2 linked regions of the Notamacropus eugenii genome follow. The main gene of each other region encodes a partner of the protein of the gene in region 2 in a complex. Links are inferred from orthologs where the notes say so. Each region holds a gene or a part of one and is shown on either strand. Other genes may lie near its edges.

Region 1 (10,415 bases), on a different chromosome or scaffold from region 2:
ACACGCAAGCTGTATCTCTTTAACTTAAAGTTGAAAGGAAACTGAAAGATTATTCTAACACCTGCAACTACATGCATGGATTCCAGCTCCTTAAGGGTACGAAATATTTCTCATTTTTGTCTCTGCAGCCCAGTGTCTAGGGTTTTCTTCTTTTGGAAAAGTTGTTCTCCAGGATAGGAACTACTTCTACCACTTGGTAGAAAGGATAAAGCCTAATTCCTCAGGACTTAATAACGTAGGTTTTTAAGAGCTGGAAGGGACTTTAGAGATCATGGAGTCCAACTTTTTCATCCTACAATTGAGTAAACTAGGGTTGAGACACATTAAGTAACTTGCTCCAGATCACATAGCCAGTGTCAGTCAGGTTATACTGGCTTTTGAGCATGCTTCCCATCATATTGCCTTTACCCCCTCCTCCTTTTTATCCCTAATGCTTAGCACAGTGCCTAGCATATACAAGGAGCCTAATATGTGCTTACTGATTTCCTGAGCAGTTTGGGTCTTTCAGATGGTATGTGACCAGATACCATTGGAGACCTGATAAACATCACCTCAGTACATTCAGCCTAATTTTATTGTGCTGGCATATCCATCATCTTAATATTTGAAGGTTACCAATGAGTTCTAAGTACCTCCTCCCTCATGCCCACTAGTACTATCAACACTTGTTTCTTCACTTATTAGCCGCCCATTGCTCCCTATAGGAATCTATCTCATCAGCACTCTTACCTGAATTATTTCTTCCCTTCCTAGTTCTCACTTCAGAGATCTAATTCAAACATCAATCATGTTTTAGTTGTTGTTCAGTGTTTCAGTCACATTCAACCCCTTGTGACCCCATATAGCATTCCTATACTACCCATGGAGTTTTCTTGGCAAAGATACTGGAGTGGTTTGACATGTCTTTATCTAGCGGATTAAGACAGATTAAGTGACTTGCCCAGGGGTTACACAGCTAGGAAGTGTCTGAAGCTGTATTTGAATTCAAATCTTCCTGATTCTAGGCACAGGACTCTATCCACTGAGCTACCTAGTAACCTCCTATTGTTCAGTAAGTATTAGTCATCACTCTCACCTACATACACTTTCAAGGTTGGGTACTTTTTGAGGAACTGGGAGATTAACAAAGGGTTGGCAGGAGGCAAAACCATTCAATTCAAGAATTTGGATAAATAAGGATAGTCAAAAAACTTGTGTCTTCATATTTTCTGTTGGGGAGTGACTCAAATATTCTTCACTAAGTGCAGAAAAGCAACAAGGTTATCCTTTTGTCTATAAGACGTAAATGCGAAGACACAGTCTGCAAGACTAGGTCAACTTGTTAACCTCATCGTCTTCCTCAAAAGAACCATCTAATGCTTTGACTGTGACAGTGGGTTGTCTTGAGGTCTACAAACAGTGAGAGGAAGATCTCCTGGTTTAATAAAAAAGACTTTAGACCATACCCCATCAGAAAAACAGACAAAGAATTAGGTTTTTCAAAGTATGACTCTACTGCTCCTGGAGGTTTCCTTGTACTCCCTGTGCTTAAGTTTTCTTTAGGTTAACACCTCCCAAAAGACATTTGCACTTGTGGGTTTCCCTACATGCAAAGGGAGAGAGGGAAATAAAGTCAAGAATTTTGGGGTTCTACCACAAAGCCCTAAGGTAAATCTTTGTTGTTTACCGTCAGACATGGATTGATCAGAATATTAAAACTTAATTTTTTAATCTTTCTACTTGTTCAACCCTCAACCTGAAAACATTTGTCACAATGTGTGGCTATTCTCTTAAATTGATCTGAGCTTCAGAGGATTCTTTGGTTAAAATTAATCTGTTCAGAAATTAGGAGAAACTGTGAGACTCCAGAGAATAATAGCCCACACATGCCTGGTGCCTTAAGGTGTACAAAAGGTTTTCCTTAGGACAAAGATAACCTCTTTGGTCACTCAGTCCATTCAGAAGACATCTCTCATGGGCACTGCTGTGTGTGCTATGTTGAATATCAGTGTCACTATAGAGGGGAAGGAATTCAAGACTATCCACAGGACTTAAGAATTTAGAGATAAAAGAAACTAGACCATCTAGTCCAATTTGATTAATTTTTACTGAAGAAAATGAGGACTTTTGAATTCCAATGCAAACATGCTAGTATTCTAAAACAATAATAAAAATGGATATTATTTTTTGATCAGAAAAGGGAATAAGCATTTCTATAGCTACTTCATGCCAGGTGCTGTGTTAAATACCTTTTTACAAATATATTCAGATCATCCTGACTCCAGACCTAGTACTCTATCCACTAAGCCACCTGGCTTCCTCTGATCAATTCAAAGACTTTTCTGCCCCCAATTAAAAAGGAAAAATAGATCTCTAAACCATTTCAGTTTTAATAGCCTACAACATTGATTAAAAAGATATGGCAACTTTAGACTTTCATTTTAGCTTGATTGCTACCAAGTACAGAGAGGAACACAGGCAAACTGCAGCTAGATTCTAAGAAGCAAGTGTACAAAGGGCGTCATTTTAAACTTGTGACAATGGGTTAAGAGAGTCAAAGATGTAAGCTCTTCCTGAATGAGGTCTCCTAGATGTAGGACAAGCTTCTTGTGCCAGAGTCCTGGGTGGTTTGGTAATTCAGAGGACCAATCGTGCTTGCTGGGTCATGAGAACCTTGAATCTCTTCTTGATGGTGATACGGTGTCTGGAGTACTTGTCATCTGGGGAGAATCTGGCTGGGTGCGCTGAACAGGTCTGTTGTCCTGCAGGGTCTGTTTTCTGTTAGGAGAACAAAGAGAACCGAATGTGAATTCTCACATCCAACACTGCCACCAGTCTAGTACAGGCCCCTATTACAGCTATGAAGTGATTTTCCTAAAGTACAGGTTTGATCACATCACCCACCTACTCAAACTTCAGTGTAGCCCTATTGCCTCCAGTATCAAATACAAAACGCATTTTTGGCATTCAAAACTCTTTATAACCTAGCCACTACCTATCATTCCAGTCTTCTTATACCTTACTCCCCCCACCACATATTCTTTGATCCAGTGATACTGACCTCCAGGCTATTTGACAAACTTGGCACTCTTATCTCTTGGCTCCAGGAATTTTCTCTGGTATGCCCCATGGGTGGAACACTACCTACTGAAGTCCCAACTGAAATTCTACTTTCTACAGAAAATCTTCCTCAGCCCCTCTTACTTGCAGTGCCTTCCTCCTTGTTATCTCCTATTTATCCTGTACATAGCTTGCCATATATATATATATACACACATTATAAATATACACACACACACATATATTTGTCTACGTTGTCTCCCTCACCACATCGTAAGCTCTTTGAGGGTACAGCTTACTCTATCCCCAGTGTTTAGCACAGTAGGTTTACTGATTATTTTGGAGCAGAACCAGAGAAAAGGTCGAAAAGACTCGGACAGGCAGGGAGGACGAAGCTGTTTATTTCTCCTCATCCATCCCCTCGCCCCAGCCCCAGCATTACCCTGACCAACAGACCAGACCTGGGCTAAGGACGATTAGGTCCCTAGGCTGTGGGTGCCGAGGGTATGCAGGGACAACCTTTTCCTTCCTTCTGTTTCCCACAGCCTTGTGCATAGTAGGTCTTCATGAAGTCTGCTGACTGTGAGGTGAGATACTCAGACGACAAGGTCTGGGATACACGCTGAATTCCGCGGGATTTAGGGCTGGGCGTGGGGAGCGAGCTCCTTCCAAGCGCAAACCCCACCCAACAGCCCCGAGTCCCCCGGCAGCGCCCCCCGGAATCACCACGGGGGGTCCCCGCTGGAGGGGGGGGGCTCTTCTTTTTACACTCTATGCCGGCGCCAAGCACAGGGTCCGGGCACAACGAAGGCTGCCCGCCTCGGCCTCCGTCCTCCTCCTCTTCTCCCTACACGACCCTCTCGGTACAAGGCAGTGACCCGGGCCGGCCGCTCCCCTCCCTCGGCCTCGGCTCCTTCTTCGTTAAAACAATAACGAGGCCCGACGGAGCCGCCGGTAAGAGCGTCTACACAGGCCGCTGCCCAGCTCGGCCGCGCAGGGCGGGAACGGAGCTCCCTCCTGCGTCTCCACCCCCCAAGTGCGCCTCCTCTCCGTACCTTTAGGGTGTAGACCCGATCCCCTTGCTCGTTGAGGTAATACTGCAGAAACATGGCGGCCAATTCCCTTCGCGAGGCGGGCAGGCCACGGGAAGACTCGGCCACAAGCAGGCTTCCACCTCCGCCTTGGCCCGGGAGCGCGGACCCACCCCCCGACCACGTGTTTGTTCCAGGGACACTTCCGGGAAGTAGAGCCCCCGCGGCATGCTGGGAGGTGTAGTCCCCTCCTCTTCTCCTCCTGCCCTCCTGAAGGGGGAGTCCTCGCCCTGGGATTGCACTAGGGAGCGCATCCCTATGCTGGAAGTTGGGAAGGGAGTGGGCTTCGAATGCCAGGGGAGGCCATTAGCCACAGCCCATTCAGGGATGGAGAGGCCGCTGTTTTTGAACCCAGAACTTGAATATCCCTCCCCTGCATGCAAACTGCAATAAGTAGTCCCATGGAAGAAAAGTAGCGCCCAGAGCCTTAGAGGGGCGAGGAAATCCAGGCGCCGAGGGTGCCCAGGCCGCGGCCAGGCCCTGCCCTCCATCTTGTGCGGCTGAGAACATGGAGGCGCAGGCCAGCTCAGGCCCTGGCTCCCCTTCGCCCAGGGGGTAAGTAGAGGCACGAGGGCCGGGGCGCCCAGGCCTGCGCCGCACCCTCCGGGGGTGCAGAGGCGGCCCGGCCAGGTGCACGGGGAGGGGCGCTGCGCTCGGAGGTGGGAGATGGGGACCTGCACCGCCCACTCACCTGGGAGCCGCGGGGGGGACGAGGCTGGAAGGTGCCCCTCCGCCCCCACCACGCACGTGGAGAGCTGGCGAGGACCCGCCCAGCCTCGTGGCCCAGACGTGGAACTGGGGCCGGCCACGTTGAGTGGCTTGCCCATTCAGGGTCGTCGCCTGAGTTGGGTTCTGAATTCAGATCCTCCCCGCCGAGCTCTCCTCCCCCTCTTCCCTAGAACATTCCTCGGCCCCCTGGCCTGGCCCTCACTCTTCCCTCCCTTCCCCCACTGCGTAGAATGCACGGGTTTCCAGGTTCCAGTTCTGTTTTGATTCAATCTTTTCCCTTCTGCTGCCCTCAATTCTTGGGCAGCTACTGTGACCAGGTGGCCTTCTGGGCCCTGGCCCTGACCCTTGTGCCATCCTGGAGGCTGCTAGGCAGCCCCGATTAGTGCCCAAGCCAGAGGGTCCAGTCCCAGATGGAGGTGAGCGGAGCTGGGGGCCTCTCACAAAGATCCGTGCCCCCTATCCCCTCGAGCCCCAGGGAAAGAAATTTGGGACTGTAGCCCTGGGGATCACCTTTGTGACCTGCACTGTGGGACCCAAGAGGAAGACAGACCAATGAATCCATCCCATGCTCAGGCAACAGACCCGGGGAGGTTGGGGAACCAGTTTGGAGCCTTGGGGTTCACAGAGCCAGCCTCTTCAGAGCTGATTTGGGATGCCTTGGAGGAACTGAGCCAGGGAGCTCTGAGTTGAGAGAGAAGACCCACTAGCAGATTGACTTAAATAGGCAAGAAGCCTCCAGTCACTAGGCATTAGCCACCTTAAAGAAGGACAAAAGGACTTAGTAGAATTAGGTCTAACACTTACGTCCTTCTTTCTGGCAGAGACCCTGTTTTCCCAAGTTTTTGCTTTAGAAATTGATATTTCAGCAGGGATATATTCAATCAGAGAGGACAGAGGGAATTGGATGGAAAAGACTTTTGACAGAAATTTGGCCAGAGTGGTCCTCTTTTGCAGAGGCATGCCCTGAACCTACCAAGAGACTAGGAGGCTTGGGGAGAACCTCAAAACAATACCCCCTCCCCCCTTTCCCCATAGATTAATATAGAATACAATAACTGCCCTAGGGTTGAATACCTCAGTTTCCTTGACACCTAGAAACCTCTGTTTTTGTTTGCCCAGGGAACTTCTGGAACTTGTTTCTTGCATTTATCAGGGGCTGAAGGTTGGGGAGTATTGGGGAGGTGGTTAATACATAGTTATTCAACCACAGCTGGAACATAGGCAGTACTGATTTACTCTGAGTTGTTTCATCTATCCTAGGATCCTAGGCCCTCTAACCCATTTCATCTTGTTCCCTCCCTCTTTCTGTTATGGCTAGCATGTCCTGACCCTTCCCTGCTTGTCATCAGAGTGATGAGCTTGTCTACCATCATCCATGACTCCATGATCTTATTTTATGGTCAGGGAGGTAAACTGTGTGTGAGTTTCACGTCGTTTGTGGGATAAGGTGGATTGTTAAATTCTTGTTATTATTAAATGGAGGCATCTCCTTAGAAGGCATCTTATGTATTATATGTGGTGTTATATTTTCTTGTATTCCCAGTGCCTTGTGCCTCGGAAGTGCTCAATAATTACTTGTTAATTTGAAAGCCCTTGTCCTTTCCATTACTGAAGGAATAACCTAGGTAAACGATAGAGAGAATCAGAATCAGTGTTAGGAGCAACTGCCACACTTCACGGGGTCTATCTGCTAGCTCTCTGAAGCGTAAGAAAACCTGTCATTTTTATCCACCTAGTCTACTACTACCTCCTTTTGACTAGTTTTTACTCCTCTGGAGTGGAGAATCTCTAGGAATCTGTATGGGCTTCCCCTCCTTACCTTAAGAAGATTCTAGAAGGAAGATTATTAAGTGGCTAGAGATGGCTGGGAGTAGGGGGAATGTCTCTGATTTTACTTCTATAAGCAGAAATGAATGAGTTGTTAATTGGAATGAGAGTTTTAGGGATAAATTGGTTATGGCTATAGAACTTTTTTTATTGTACTTTTAGATGAGAAGAGGAATAGGGGACTTAAAAAAAGGAGCAAGGAGATGAAAAAGGGGAGGAATGAAGAAACAGGGCCAGGAACCTCTCTCAATTGATCTCTAATTTAGGAACACCAAAGGAGCCTAGGGAAGGGCCAGATTCTAGATTCTCCCATCAGATGCTCAACCTCCTAGTTGGGGACATACTTTGAGTTGTTATCTCCTGCATGTCAACCCTGTTCTATGTCTTGGGACACCACACAGTGGAGGTAGACTTCTAAGAATATCCTTAAAGAAGTTGTCAGTGATATTGTAGACATTTTTTTTTATTGGACTGGTAAAGATGTTTACCCTATGAATTAGGGGACCAGCTCTGCAATGTATCAGGGTCCAAAGGGTCCCCAGATGTTGAGGCCTCTAGCTGCCTCATTTCCTGCTCCAATCCCTCCTTTTTCTCAACAGCTCCTTCATTGTCTGGACCTGAAATGACCCCGAAGCCTGGCCCTGTCCCACCCTGTACTTCACTTCCATTACCCCCACCCCCTCCAGGACCATCAGACAAGCCTCTCTGGGAGCCACCACCTCAAACTCCCATTTCTTCACCATTCCCACCGGGTAGCCCCCTGGTTCTGTCTGCTTTCCCTAGTACATTGCTGGTGACAGGGGATGGGGGAGCAGGCCCTAGCGGGGGTGGGGCTGGTAAGGTCATCGTCAAAGTCAAGACAGAGGGGGGCCCATCTGAAGCCCCCCGAACTCAGACCTTTATCCTCACTCAGACTGCCCTCAATTGGATTGCCCCAGGTCCTCCCCGTGGGGGCCCTGAAGGCCCCACTCCCCGGTTCCTGGCAGCCACCAATGTCAAGACCATTCTTCTTGCTAAGGCTGTTGGGGTGGCCCAGGCTGGTGAAGGAGAGGGACCCCCTACCCATCCTCCCCTGGCCCCACCACCCACCGCCCAACTAGCTCCAATTATACCCCCAGAAAAGGCTTGGCGGGGGCCAGATGGGACTCCTGGGGAGGGAGGTCCACCTCCACCTTGTCCCAAACCCTCTCTGGGTGACCTTTCCTGCACCTCCAAGGGTGTTTATGAGAACTTTCGTCGCTGGCAACGCTACAAGGCACTGGCCCGGAGACACCTGCCCCGGAGCCCTGATGCAGAAGCGCTTTCCTGCTTCCTCATGTGAGTGCTTGCTTTTGGAGTTACGCTTGTAGACTCCTTCAGACTTTTTATTCTTGGAAGGAAGAGTCAGGAGAAGCCTGATGGATTATAGACTAAAGTTGTTTGGAAATATCCGATGGTAGGTCAGGGGCCACAGTGCAACTTCCCAGAAAAAAGATAGTTCCTTCACATTCATTTGTAGGCAGAGCAGTTAAAATGGGTCAGCAGGACAGGGATATTCCTAAGGGGATGAGGGTCTGTAAACAAAAAACACTTTGTGCCTTTAGCTTCTATTTATACTGTGTGATCAAGTTTAAATAACCATCAAGGGCAGCCTTGAAAGGGAAAAAAGGTCGCAAGAGGGTGGCATACATTCTAGGAGATATATAGATATACATCTATATATATATTTTATCCTCACAACAAGCCTGTGAGGTAGGTGCTGTTATCATCCCTATTTCCCACTTGAAAAAACTGAGGCAAATAGAGGCTAAGTGACTTGTCCAGGGTCACATATCTGAGGCAGGATTTGAATTCAGGTCTTCCTGATTCCAGGCCAGAGCAATAACTATTTCTCTATCCAGCTGCAAAATTTATCGAAAGTAATGTTGGTGGGTACTAGCAGCTAGAAGAAATCAGGAAAGACTTCATTTGGAAAGGGAGCTAAGGATTTTAAGAGAGAAAGTTAAGGAGGGTATGCGTTCCAGGCATGAGAAATGCCCTCTGCAAAGGCATAGATGTAGGAGTACCAACAGACTTGGGCTGCTGAGTCTTCTTCATTTTGCTGACAAAAAAGTGGGTTGAACAGACCAGAAGCATCTAGAAGGTTCCTGTCCCTTCCAAAAAAATGTGCTTGATACATATTCCTTAATTTATGCTTCATTTGTGTTAACAAGCTTTTGCTTAAGATTCAAATGCTCTTGTCAGAATTAGGCTTATCAGTGAGTCATGCCTTATTATGAGTTATCTTAATTATATAATTAGGTTATTCAAGCGTAGCGACGGATAGTGTGCTAGACCTGGAATCAGGAAGTCCTGAGTTCAGTTCCTTCCTCAGAGCAATTACTAGCCCTGTGACCCTGGTCAAGTCACTTAACCTCTGCCTGTCTCAGTTTCCTCATCTGTAAAATGGGGATAATAATAGCATCTATTTCCCAGACATTGTGAAGTCAATGAAGTAATATTTGTAAAGTGTCATCATCCTCATCCTCATCCTCATCACTCCCAACATCCCTAAGATCATCACATTAAGGAAATGGGAGTTTTGAATGGGGAAGGTGTCGGGATGGGAGAGGTCATTTTTGAGTGTAGGATGCTATTTAGGAGGCGGGCTGGCTTATAGTAAGTAGGGTGTTATACTAGGGTGCCTTGGGCCACTAGAAAACAGCATGAGGGTAGTAAGTCCTTGAGGTTGGGAGTGCAGTGAGAAAAAGGGAAGTTCAGGAAACTGGGAGGAAGGCACAAAAAGGGAAGCAGAGCAACACTGATAAGCTCTGCAGTCACTATTCCTGACCTGTGAAAGGTGTCCCATGTGCTGTATGTTGCCTGTTCAAGCTTTCAGGCGTCTGGGCTTAGCTACTCCTGAAAAGCTTTTGTAATGATCGATACAAAGATGTTAATTAGGTCTGAAGGCATGTCAGCCACAAACATGTGGTTGCTTCCTTCACCAACAGACTGCAAACCCACTATACCTCTGTGGACAGCTTTATGAGTTCCTGTGAGTCCCCCAAACATCATCATCTGGTGGGAAGTCTGGCAATGAGCCTCTCCAAATTTAGCTAGGCCAACCCTCGGTTAACGGGATCTGTACTTAAGCTCTTCCAGCTTGGAGAGTTTGGGGACAGCTTTAGAGAACCTATGTAGTACTAGAGTAGAATTTGAGTGGTCTCTCTCTGTCTCTTTTTGTCTCTTTGCCTCATCGTCTCTCTGTCTTTTATGCCACAGCTCCTCAAATCTAGCAGCTGTTCCATCACAGGTTCTGTGTGATAAATTAATTAATCAAAAAGCTTTTAATGCCTGCTGTGTGTTGGGGATACGAACACAGAGAATGAAACAATTCTTACTGTGTACTGAATGTACACACATTCTGAAAGATTTGCCCAATTTCTGATAGAGCAAGGGATGGATGGGGAAGGAATTACCATGTCTGATTGGATGTGGGCTGTGATAGAGACAGAGAGATGAGTGAGATCTGATGGGGATGGGAAGGTAGACGGTGGATGAAAGGAGTGAGTGTGAAGTGAGTAGGTGCCAGGATAGGTGTATGTGTAAAAGGGTCATGATGGGGAGAAGCCTAAGTAGGATGTGACAAGAATAGGGGTGTTTTTAGCCCAGTGCTTCGTTCCTTGGCCCGGCTAAAGCCAGCTATGACCCTGGAGGATGGACTGCCACGGGCGGTGCAGGAGTGGGAGCGAAGTAGCAACTTTGACCGAA
Region 2 (9,722 bases):
CGCTGAATTCTGATTGTCATCTTCCAACCTTTCACCCTTCTTAAATCGGCCTTCAGTTCTCCTGTGTTCTAGTCTCACTTGCCTTCCTTTCTAATCCTCCCCAAACTACTTTGCTCTCATTTTGCATAGCTCCTGGATACACTTATTTATGTACACATCTCCCTTTGCTACATTTCTTTATCTCCAGCACTTGGTACAGGGCCTGGCCTTAGGAGGTACTTAATAAATGCTTGCTGAATGATTGATTAGTGGACACCTAGAAAAGGAAGTGGTAAGAGAGTCAACATGACTTTAGCAAGAGCACATCATGCCAGAGTAACTACACACACACACACACACACACACACACACAACATACACACACACACACCTTTTTTTATCTATTTATTACTTTATATAAGGAGGGGAGAATATCTCATGCTCTCTGATATAAGAGATGGAGAAACATTTGCTAGACAATAATACAGTTACACAACTTCAGAACTGGGTGAATAGTCAGAACCAAAGTAAAATCATTAATGATTCAGTATCTTACTGGATGGAGATCTCTAGTAAAGAGAACAGGGACTTGGTCCCGGGCAATTTAAAATTGCTATCAATGACTTGGATTAAAGGCATAAATGGCAAGCTTACCAAACTTGCAGATGACATAGAACTGGGAGGGATGACTAACACACTGGATAGCAAGATAGAACATTGGGTTGGATTGAATATGATGAAAGTTAGTGAAGAGAAATGTAAAGAATTTGAGTTTAAAAAAAATATTTCACATGTTCAAGAGGTGTATGTAAACATACATACACAATCAGATATTTGTAAGTTCTCTAATTCTGTCTCATGTCTAAGTTTTGTTTGCCATAGTAAGATGATATGAAAGGTACCCTGGTCCAAGTGTCAGGTCCATCTTCTGACCAGGAGAGTCAAGAATCCAGTAACTTGATGAAGTTGGTTATCTAATTCTCAAGAGGCAGCTACAGAAAGAATACTAGATTTGAATCATAAGACCTGGGCCTGAGTGCCTGTTCTACCGATTATTAGCTGAGCCCTTCATTTTCCTAATTTGAAGATATTACCTGCCTCACAATTTTGTTGTGAAGATTAAATGAGAACATATGTGAAGTGTTTTATAAACCATACAATACTGTACACCTCAACAATTATTATCACTGTCATGATTGAAATTTAACAAAAGGGTAAACTGAGGCAATTCTATAAGCAAGATAACATTTGTTAACAGGGGCTTGCTGCCTGTCAATAAATGGGTCGATGGATTGTCTTCATCTATGCCAAAGACCCTGAGCAAAAGGATAGTTCCCCCTTTATAGTTTTTGAGGAATACAGAACAAAAAACAGAACTGGGTAGGTGACAGCATATGGTCAAGAGCAACATGAAAGGTTGGAAGTTTGGTAATTTGAACTAGCAACAACCCCATTCCTTCCCTCTCAAGAGTCTAGATGCAAAGCAGACATCCTTAAAGGATAGCTTGGTGTATAGATATTAGTCAGAACTCTCTACAAGCATTCCCCAAGGTCAGCTAAATTCCTTGTGGCAAGAGCAGATCAGTGATTAACAGGGAGCTGGATTTCTAAATTAACCCATTACAGGCCAGCTAAATTCTGAACTAAGTTCAGAAACAAAGAATCATGATTTAAACAATTACAGGACAAAAACAGTTACAGGTAATTGTAAATAGGATCAATAAATAAGTGATACAGGATCAATCTTAATCTTCTCACCATCTTACCAGCACTTCCAAAAATCTTTTCCCCTCACCCTCATTAAAGTCCATTGTGTCATAATAAGGGACCAAAGGAGGTAATCCTGGGTTCTTCAAAGTTATATGTCAACAGAGCTCAAGCCTCTGGAATGTCATACCAAGTCTGTCTGCAAATCAACAGACAAGCTAACTATAGAAAAGTTCAAAACCAGAGTTTGTTGATCCATTATTAAATGAATGAATTTTTCAGCCATATCAATTCATTAAGATTGTCCAAGGCTGCTGAGGGTTTTGATATGTACTAGCAGAAGTACTCACACCTATGGCAGCTAGGTGGCAGTGGATAAAGCCCCAGGCCTGGATTCAGGAAGACCTGAGTTCAAATTTGACCTTGGACATTTATTAACTGTGTGCCCCAGGACAAGTCATTTAACCCTTTTGCCTCAATTTCCTCAACTGTAAAATGAGCTAGAGAAGGAAATGGCAAACCACTCCAGCAGCTTTGTCAAGAAAACCACAAATGGGATCACAAGGAGTCAGATACAGATGAGATGGGTGAACAACTTATACCCATAAAGCCCCAGATATTTGAATTGTTGAAGTACAAACACTTCCTTATCACCATTTCCCAAATTCTCTAGCAAATCACTTTCTAAACAGTATAAGGACCTTCCCCCCTCTTTCCTCCCACCCACCTCCACAAAAAAACAAAAAAGATATTCTGAAAGCAAAGAATGGTAAATTTCATAGCAAACTCCTGCAAAAGCATCCTGAAGTTCGTCTTTATAAACCAAGTAATTCCTTTGTCTGAAAATTCATTCACATAGCTATATGTGGATCAATTAAAGAGATAAACAAAAGCAGAAAAAATTATACCATGATGAAGTTAACAGCAGGAAACTCAAAAATGTCATTCTTTGCCTAAACCTTCATTTCTTTCCTTTTCCCCTTTTTCCTCTCCTGTGAAATCCCATAACTTTTCTTTTTACTCTAAGTGGTGGAGAAAAAGGAGACTCTAGTTAATAAGGCTTTAAATTAAGACCTCAAGTTTTTATGGATCTTTAACAATCAGCTCATAAGTGTCTGGCTAAAACAAGTCAAGTTGCACTGACCCTCTCACCTTCTACTCAGTTCAACTCAAGTCATTACTGCAGTAGCTATTATGTGGCAAGCACTACCTCATAGACTTCATGGATTGTGACCTCTTCTACAAGAATGCCTTGATGAATATGTGAAATATTTCCCATATACAATAGGTTTACTCCACTTTTACATTCCTGTCATTGTTTCACTAGCCTAAAATATATGGCTAGTAAAGTGTTTTACAATCCTTCTTTAAATATATATTTCTCAACTAGTTAAGTTATTGTTGCCCTTAATTGGGGAAGAAGAATGGGGAGGCTTCACAAGTACATGGATTTCAAGCATTCATTTATATAGAGCTGGAAGTGCTCTAGGTGGTCGGCTAATCCAATTATGCCCCCAGTTCAGAATTCCTCTCTACATTACTTCAACAGGAGGTTCATTCAATCTCATAAGCTTTTAAGTCTAATAAGTAACTAGCAACTCCGAACTTCCAGGAGCAGTTCATTTCATATTGGGATATTATTAATTAGCGTCACAGCCTAAAGCTAACGTGGAAGGGTCCTTCAGAGATCATCTAGTCAAACTGATTTTACAGATGAGTAAACTGAGGCACAAAACCGTTAAATCTCGGTCAAATGATAAACGGCAAATCCGGGAGTGGAGCAATATGACTCACCCAAAGTGGTGAAAAGACGTGTGATGCGCATTTTTATCAGTCTTGACCCGGAGACACAGTCCCTTCCAGGTAAGGAAGAAACAAACAGATGCGTCTTTCTTTGGGACCGGGAAACCACAGAAAGCCAAACGGACCAGGGAAACTTCCTTTCAGGGTTCGGGGGCACAAACCCACACTGAAGCCATGGGGTATAGGTGGCAGAGAACTAGGAGCCCCATATTCTCAGTCAATTCCAGGCAGTCCAGTAAGCCTCCGGGCTCTGGCCGGGAAGGGAGGACGCTCAGGGCTCCCGGCGCACCCGGCAAGTCCAGCCCAGCAGGTCGCAGAGGCGCCACCACTAGACAGGCCACCTCATCCTGCCTCAAGAGCAGAGGGTGCCAGGAGGAAGAGGCCAAGAAGGATGCTCGGGAGGGAAAAATTATCATATCCCAGAAGCAAGGTTAAGGCAGGAATATGCTAGCCACCAGACCCCAGGACGCCTGAGCTCCGCTAACACCTCGGCGCTGAGTCTAACACTCAACTCGATCCAGCCCCCTCGGAGCTCCGCCCCCTACTCCCCCCGCACCCAATCCCACCCCAGACGCTGACTTTTGGCCCCGCCCCCTATTGCCTCAGGACCCTATTCCTCCCCAAACACCTCTGGAAGGCCACGCCCCACTTTGACCCCGCCCCCTATTGCCTCGGAGCCCTATCCGCTTCCCTGGGACCTCCTGCAAGTCTTACCCCTTTCTGGACCCCGCCCTCTACTGCCTCAAGTCCTATCTCTTCTCCAGACCAGAAGGCCCTGCCGGTCCTGAACCCCCATGAAACCGCCCCCTCGGTGGCTCAGGGCCCAATCCACTTCCTGGCACCGCCTCCTCCCCGTCAGTGACCGGGAAAAGGACCCTCAGCGCTTCAGGGCTACTTTCCTAAATAGTTCCAGAGCCCACACCCCTTCATGACCAAGAGCTCCGCCCCTCGCCTTCCCAGGATCCAGAATGCGGCCCTTTCCTCTCCACGGGAGTGGCTTCCTTGCCGTCCCAGACCCAAGTACTGCCCCGCACTAGTCTCCAGCACCTTGTACCGCTCCACAACTCAAGCCTCTTCCCGAGACTCATTCCTCACTTCACTCTGTTCCCTCCTCCCATTTCCCTCCACGCTGGGCTCCGCCTCGAACCTAAGCCTCTGGCTCCTCCTCCATCCCCGGGCCCCGCCTCCCGGCTCCAGGAGCTTTGGAGCCTGCCCTCCTCCCAGCTTGCCTTGGAGCTCCGGCCCGCTGCCACAGCCGCGAGATCCAGACGCCACGACAATTGGTTGAGAAGGGGCGGGAGGCGGGAACTTCCCTGTGCCTCGCTTCAGATTGCCTGGAGACCGTGACGTCGCCGAGTTCGCTCGGGGCGCGGCCGCATAACCCGGAAGTCGTTCTAGCGGTGGCTCGCTCGTGCTTTGGGAGCATCCGAAGCTTGCGACCTCGGGAGCCGGCGGTACCGTGAAGATGACCAAAGTAAAGCGGGAAGTGGAGGAGTCGGAGGCGGCGCCGGAAAGCTCCGGGGCTCCTGAGCGCACCTACGAGGAGATGCTGTCGAACCTGAACCCCATTGCGCAGCCCCTGGCGTCCCGCCGCCTGACTCGGAAACTGTACAAGTGCATCAAGAAAGGTGGGCCGGGGAGGACGGAGAAGCTGCGTTTGTGGCTGTGGGGAAAGAAGGGGGAGCCGAGGAGGAAGCCGAGGGAGAAGGGAGGGAGTCGGGCAGAAAGAATGGGGAAGCCGAGGAGTGAGAGGGGCAGGCTCAGAACTGACTCTTCCGATCCTTCCAGCCGTGAAGCAGAAGCAGATCCGGCGAGGCGTGAAGGAAGTTCAGAAATTCCTTAACAAAGGGGAAAAGGGGTAAGCGCCGACGACCCCCTGCGTCTTAGACGTGATAAAGGCCAACATTTATATAGGATTTTAAGGTTTGCGAAGGGCTTTGCACACGTTGTTTGAACCTCGCTGACAGCCCCCTAAGGTAGGTGCTGTTATTCCCGACAAGGTTAAGTGACCTGCGCAGGGTCTCCCAGCTAACGTCTGAGGCACGCTTTGCGCTCGTGTGTCTCCGACTCCAACCCTAGCTGTCTCAGCGTAGCATTACCATGGAAGTTCCTCCATGCCTGGCGTTTCTCTCAGGCCTTCCTCCAGAAACCAGGCTGGTTTAGTAATAGTGCACTCCACACAGGTGAGCAAATTAAAACTCTCAGCCTTCTTTTTTTCCATTCCGCCATCACATATTCACTGAGTGCCTACTGTGTGAAATACACAGATGAGTAAGCCATGAGAGGCGACCTGGACTAGTCAGGACTGCTGGATCCAGCCAAGGAAATGGCCTCTCGGATCCTACCTGGACACTTAACTGGCTTGTGACTCTGAACGCTACTTCAATGCCCTGAGCATCAACTGCTTCATCTTTAGAATGTGGGGGTTGGCTTCAGAGATCTAAATGTATTATCCTGCCGTCCCCAGTCTAGCAATGAAGAAAGGACATACGTCAGGGACTATTTTTACGAGTCAAATTGTCTCCAAAAAGGCATATTATGTTTTGGTTGTCAGAGGAAGTTGAGTATGTCACCTTACTTTATAAAACTTAATCCCTGATAATTACCAAGCAGATGTTTTACCACAGTGAGCAAAATTGTAACAGTTTATTTGAAAACAACATTGCAGAGAAAAGCTTTGAAAGGCTTTAGAACTCTGGCCAATGCAACGATAAACTGTAAGTCCAGAAGCTTGATAAAATACACTACTCGATTCCTGCAAGAGAGCTAAAAATGCAGACAGACACTCATTTTGGTGCATAGCTAAGGTGGGAATTGTTTTGCTGGACTGTGGGTACCTGTGACAAGGGTTTTTTTATTGTTCAGTGGGAGGGAGATTGTGGGAGAGACAAATTATTTTTTTAAAAAAAGGTGTATTGGGGGTGGATCAATAACATTGCCTACTAGTGAGTTGGGATCTGCAGTAGAGAAAGTAACCCCATACATTCAGGTTTCAACACCAAGATAAAGTCATGGAGAGTCCTTTAGCATTTAGCCCAATCCCTGAATTTCAGAACAAAAAAACTGAGAGCCGGAAAGGAAGAGTAACTTGTTCAAGGTCTGAAAAGTTAGGGCTGGAGCTGGAACCATTCTTTCCATTGCACTTTTCACAAGCATAATACCCAAGAATTATGCATGTCCTTAACCCCCTTCTGTCCCTGCCCTTAAAAAAAAACCTCTTGACTAGAGATATTCCAAGTTAAGAATTTTTCATTCTAACAGAAGATGAAAACACAAATGACTCATTTCATTACAGGATTATGGTTTTGGCTGGGGATACATTACCCATCGAGGTATACTGCCATCTCCCCATTATGTGTGAGGATCTGAGTATGCCTTATGCCTATGTTCCCTCGAAAACGGTAAGAACTTTTTGTAGTTGCTGTCTGCAATGTTGCCTGTTTTAGCAGTATAAAAGCATGTGAAAATAAGATATTTTAGAGACAGGAATAACGTTAATTTAGGTCTCCTGACTTAGTCCTGATAAGTGTTTATTCCTGAACCTCTGAAGAGGTATTTCCGAGTTGTCAATGATGATTATTTGAAGTTACTTAGCAAGTAATAATCTTTTAAAAGAAATTTTAAGAAAAACTAGCCCTTTTATTTCCATCTTATAGGATCTGGGAGCAGCTGCTGGCTCTAAGCGCCCAACTTGCGTGATCATGATTAAACCACATGAGGACTACCAGGCTACATATGATGACTGCCTGGAGGAAGTAGAATCTCTTCCGGTCCCCTTGTAAAGAAAAGTAGTGTGAAGTTCATGATTATTTGGTAGACCCTTCTTGACTGAAAAAGACTGCTTCATTGTGCCTGGCCCTCCATCATCTCCCTGCCGGCATTCCCAGAGGTTTTTTTTTTTTTATGATAGCTCAAACAGTAATTTCACTTTGGCCAGTAACATTGTGGTTGTCAAGGCTGTTTGCTACTAAGCAGTAAAATAAAGTTTTGAAAAAATAATTTCTAGTAGTTTGTGTGGGAGGTAGGAGGGTTCTGGTTTCATTTTTTTTTTTTTTCCAAGTATGGAACACTGGAACCAATGAAAAATGCTGACATACCATTCTGAAAGACTAATGGAATCCTTGCCTCCACCATCACCACCCCTAAAATGAGCAAGCCCCAGGGAAAGGCCTCTGCCTCCAGTTCCTACTCATTAGAGAGAGCTCAGACTCCAGAGTCTTACTAGAACCTAGCAAATAGGGGTAGTACATCAAGACACCCTACAAAGCTTGAAATAGGTCTTCAAAAACAAGTCATAGTAAATGTACCAATAGTTGGCAGCATCATAGCACTTTGCTGCATCCCAATTTTGTTTAAAATTGGGTCACCTAATACCTTCACATGGAGCTAATTTGAAGTGCCTTCCAAGGAAGAAAAGGTTTATCAGAAGAGGTTGCTTGCATCCCTTCTGCCCCCAAAAGCTGAGCTCTTCTGGCTAAAACAGATTTTCTTTTCCTTTGGCCTTATTGATACATTTGCTTTTTTTTCAATCAGCTGTGAGGCAGCCAGTGGCCCAGCAGGTAGTCTTCTTACCCATGCAATCCCCAATCTTTGGTATTAAGTGAAATGCAAAGAGAGAGTAATTACAGAGAAGGCAAGTGATTTATTTGTTCAGTTATAAAACAGCTGCATCCAAGTCTGCCTAGGCTATTTACATTGTAAAACTGGTAAATACAATTGAAACACTGTACAGTAGTAAGTGACTGGCACCACACTTGGGCAGACCTAAGATTGTAGAGCTAGATCTAGATACACAAACTGCAGTGCAAGATAACAAGGGGAAGGAGGTGGAGCAATATATCTTGATGTTATATGTTTGTGGCTACCTTAAACAGACATTAAGCAAAACAACTGGCACAGGGGTGCATATAAGATAAGTGGGCTTAGGGAGAACAGAACAAGGAAAGGCATCAGGTGCTGGAGCAGGGATAACAGTGTCTGTACCCAACCTGCAGCCGTCCACCAGAACTCAGTTCTCTGCTTAACAGACAACAGCCAAAGTGAAGAAACACCCCCAAACCACACATCTTCCTTAGTCACAGATGTTTTGGGTCTAACAAAAGGACCTTGCCCCCCCAACTCCTCCTATGTGGTGCTGTTCTCAGTCAGCTTTTCAAAACACCATGGACAGGGCTATCACAGCATGTCTGTCTCTGGGTCTCATCTGCCCTACGGAAGACCAGCCAAGGCATATTGGGAACATCCCCTTTACCAAAAGAGCTGACTTCCTTGTTATCAGAATATGATACGTTTGCCATCAGCTGGGTTCTGCTCCATAGGGCAGTAAGGGCATTTCAGTCTGAGGAAAGAGAAAACAGCAAAGGTTCAGAGACCAGAAACAGAACATCTGTCAATATTGCAGTTGATCCTCCCATCTCCAATCCAGCCTCCACAAGCTTCCCTAACACAAGGTTCTGATACTACTCCTTTACTCAAAAACAGGCAAGGGAGAGCCTACAAAATAAAAATATAATACACTCAAGTCCCTCCATAATCTGGTTCCAACCTGCTTTTCTAGCTTTATTTCATACTATTTTACCTTCACAAATTTTGTGAGGCTGACATATTCCTTCTATCCCCAATTCTTGTCTACTGAAGCCCAGGTGCAAGGAATCTCTATCTCCTTCAATTTTTCATAACATCTTGCCTGGACCTCTCACTCTCTTTTGTATCATGGTGGTTGGTATACTTGTGCTTCCCATATTATAAAAGTGTTTTAAGAGGGGGGCCTATGTCACATTTAATCCTCAATGCCTGCCACAGGGCCTTGCATACAGTAGACAATCAGTTTTGAAGTGAATTTATGCTGCACTAGCTATCTAACACAAGTTCATGTTCTCAGAGGAGATAAAATAAAACTTACTTTCCTCCATTAATGAGCTTGTTGAGAGCATCCCTAGAGATGACATGACCACAGATGAGTTTGATAGGCGGGTTGGAATCTGAAGTTTGCTGGCGAAGGATGGGGCAGGCAAACACAGAGTGGTACCAGCACTTCATGCCCAGTTCAATCTCAATCTATGGAGAAAAGGCATCGCTGAGCTCCATCCCTGCTCCGCTCCCTGTAGCTGCCACCCTATCATGTCCAGCCAGGACTTACAGGCAGCTCGTCCTTATGACTCCAGACTCCCGTGCACTGTCTCTGCTCAATCACTGCTTTGATGTTCATTAACACGGGCAGTGCCACACACCCA

The links.
Region 1: NHP2 (region 2) and NOP10 share a complex: the UniProt entries of both Homo sapiens proteins name them as parts of the H/ACA small nucleolar ribonucleoprotein (H/ACA snoRNP) complex. The link is inferred for Notamacropus eugenii from reciprocal best matches to the Homo sapiens genes NHP2 and NOP10.

The regions. Positions count from the first base shown.
Region 1 is NC_092878.1:17,205,412-17,215,826, reverse strand, and holds NOP10 (H/ACA ribonucleoprotein complex subunit 3), read right to left. Parts: upstream 4,352-10,415; 5' UTR 4,149-4,351; coding exon 4,095-4,148; intron 2,758-4,094; coding exon 2,617-2,757; 3' UTR 2,068-2,616; downstream 1-2,067. Other genes in the region: NUTM1 (NUT family member 1), read left to right, coding at 7,309-8,003, 10,312-10,415. UniProt on the Homo sapiens protein: Required for ribosome biogenesis and telomere maintenance. Part of the H/ACA small nucleolar ribonucleoprotein (H/ACA snoRNP) complex, which catalyzes pseudouridylation of rRNA.
Region 2 is NC_092872.1:414,756,414-414,766,135, reverse strand, and holds NHP2 (H/ACA ribonucleoprotein complex subunit 2), read left to right. Parts: upstream 1-4,921; 5' UTR 4,922-4,954; coding exon 4,955-5,117; intron 5,118-5,277; coding exon 5,278-5,347; intron 5,348-6,784; coding exon 6,785-6,890; intron 6,891-7,145; coding exon 7,146-7,271; 3' UTR 7,272-7,488; downstream 7,489-9,722. Other genes in the region: E3 ubiquitin-protein transferase RMND5B, read right to left, coding at 8,764-8,827, 9,392-9,546, 9,629-9,722. UniProt on the Homo sapiens protein: Required for ribosome biogenesis and telomere maintenance. Part of the H/ACA small nucleolar ribonucleoprotein (H/ACA snoRNP) complex, which catalyzes pseudouridylation of rRNA.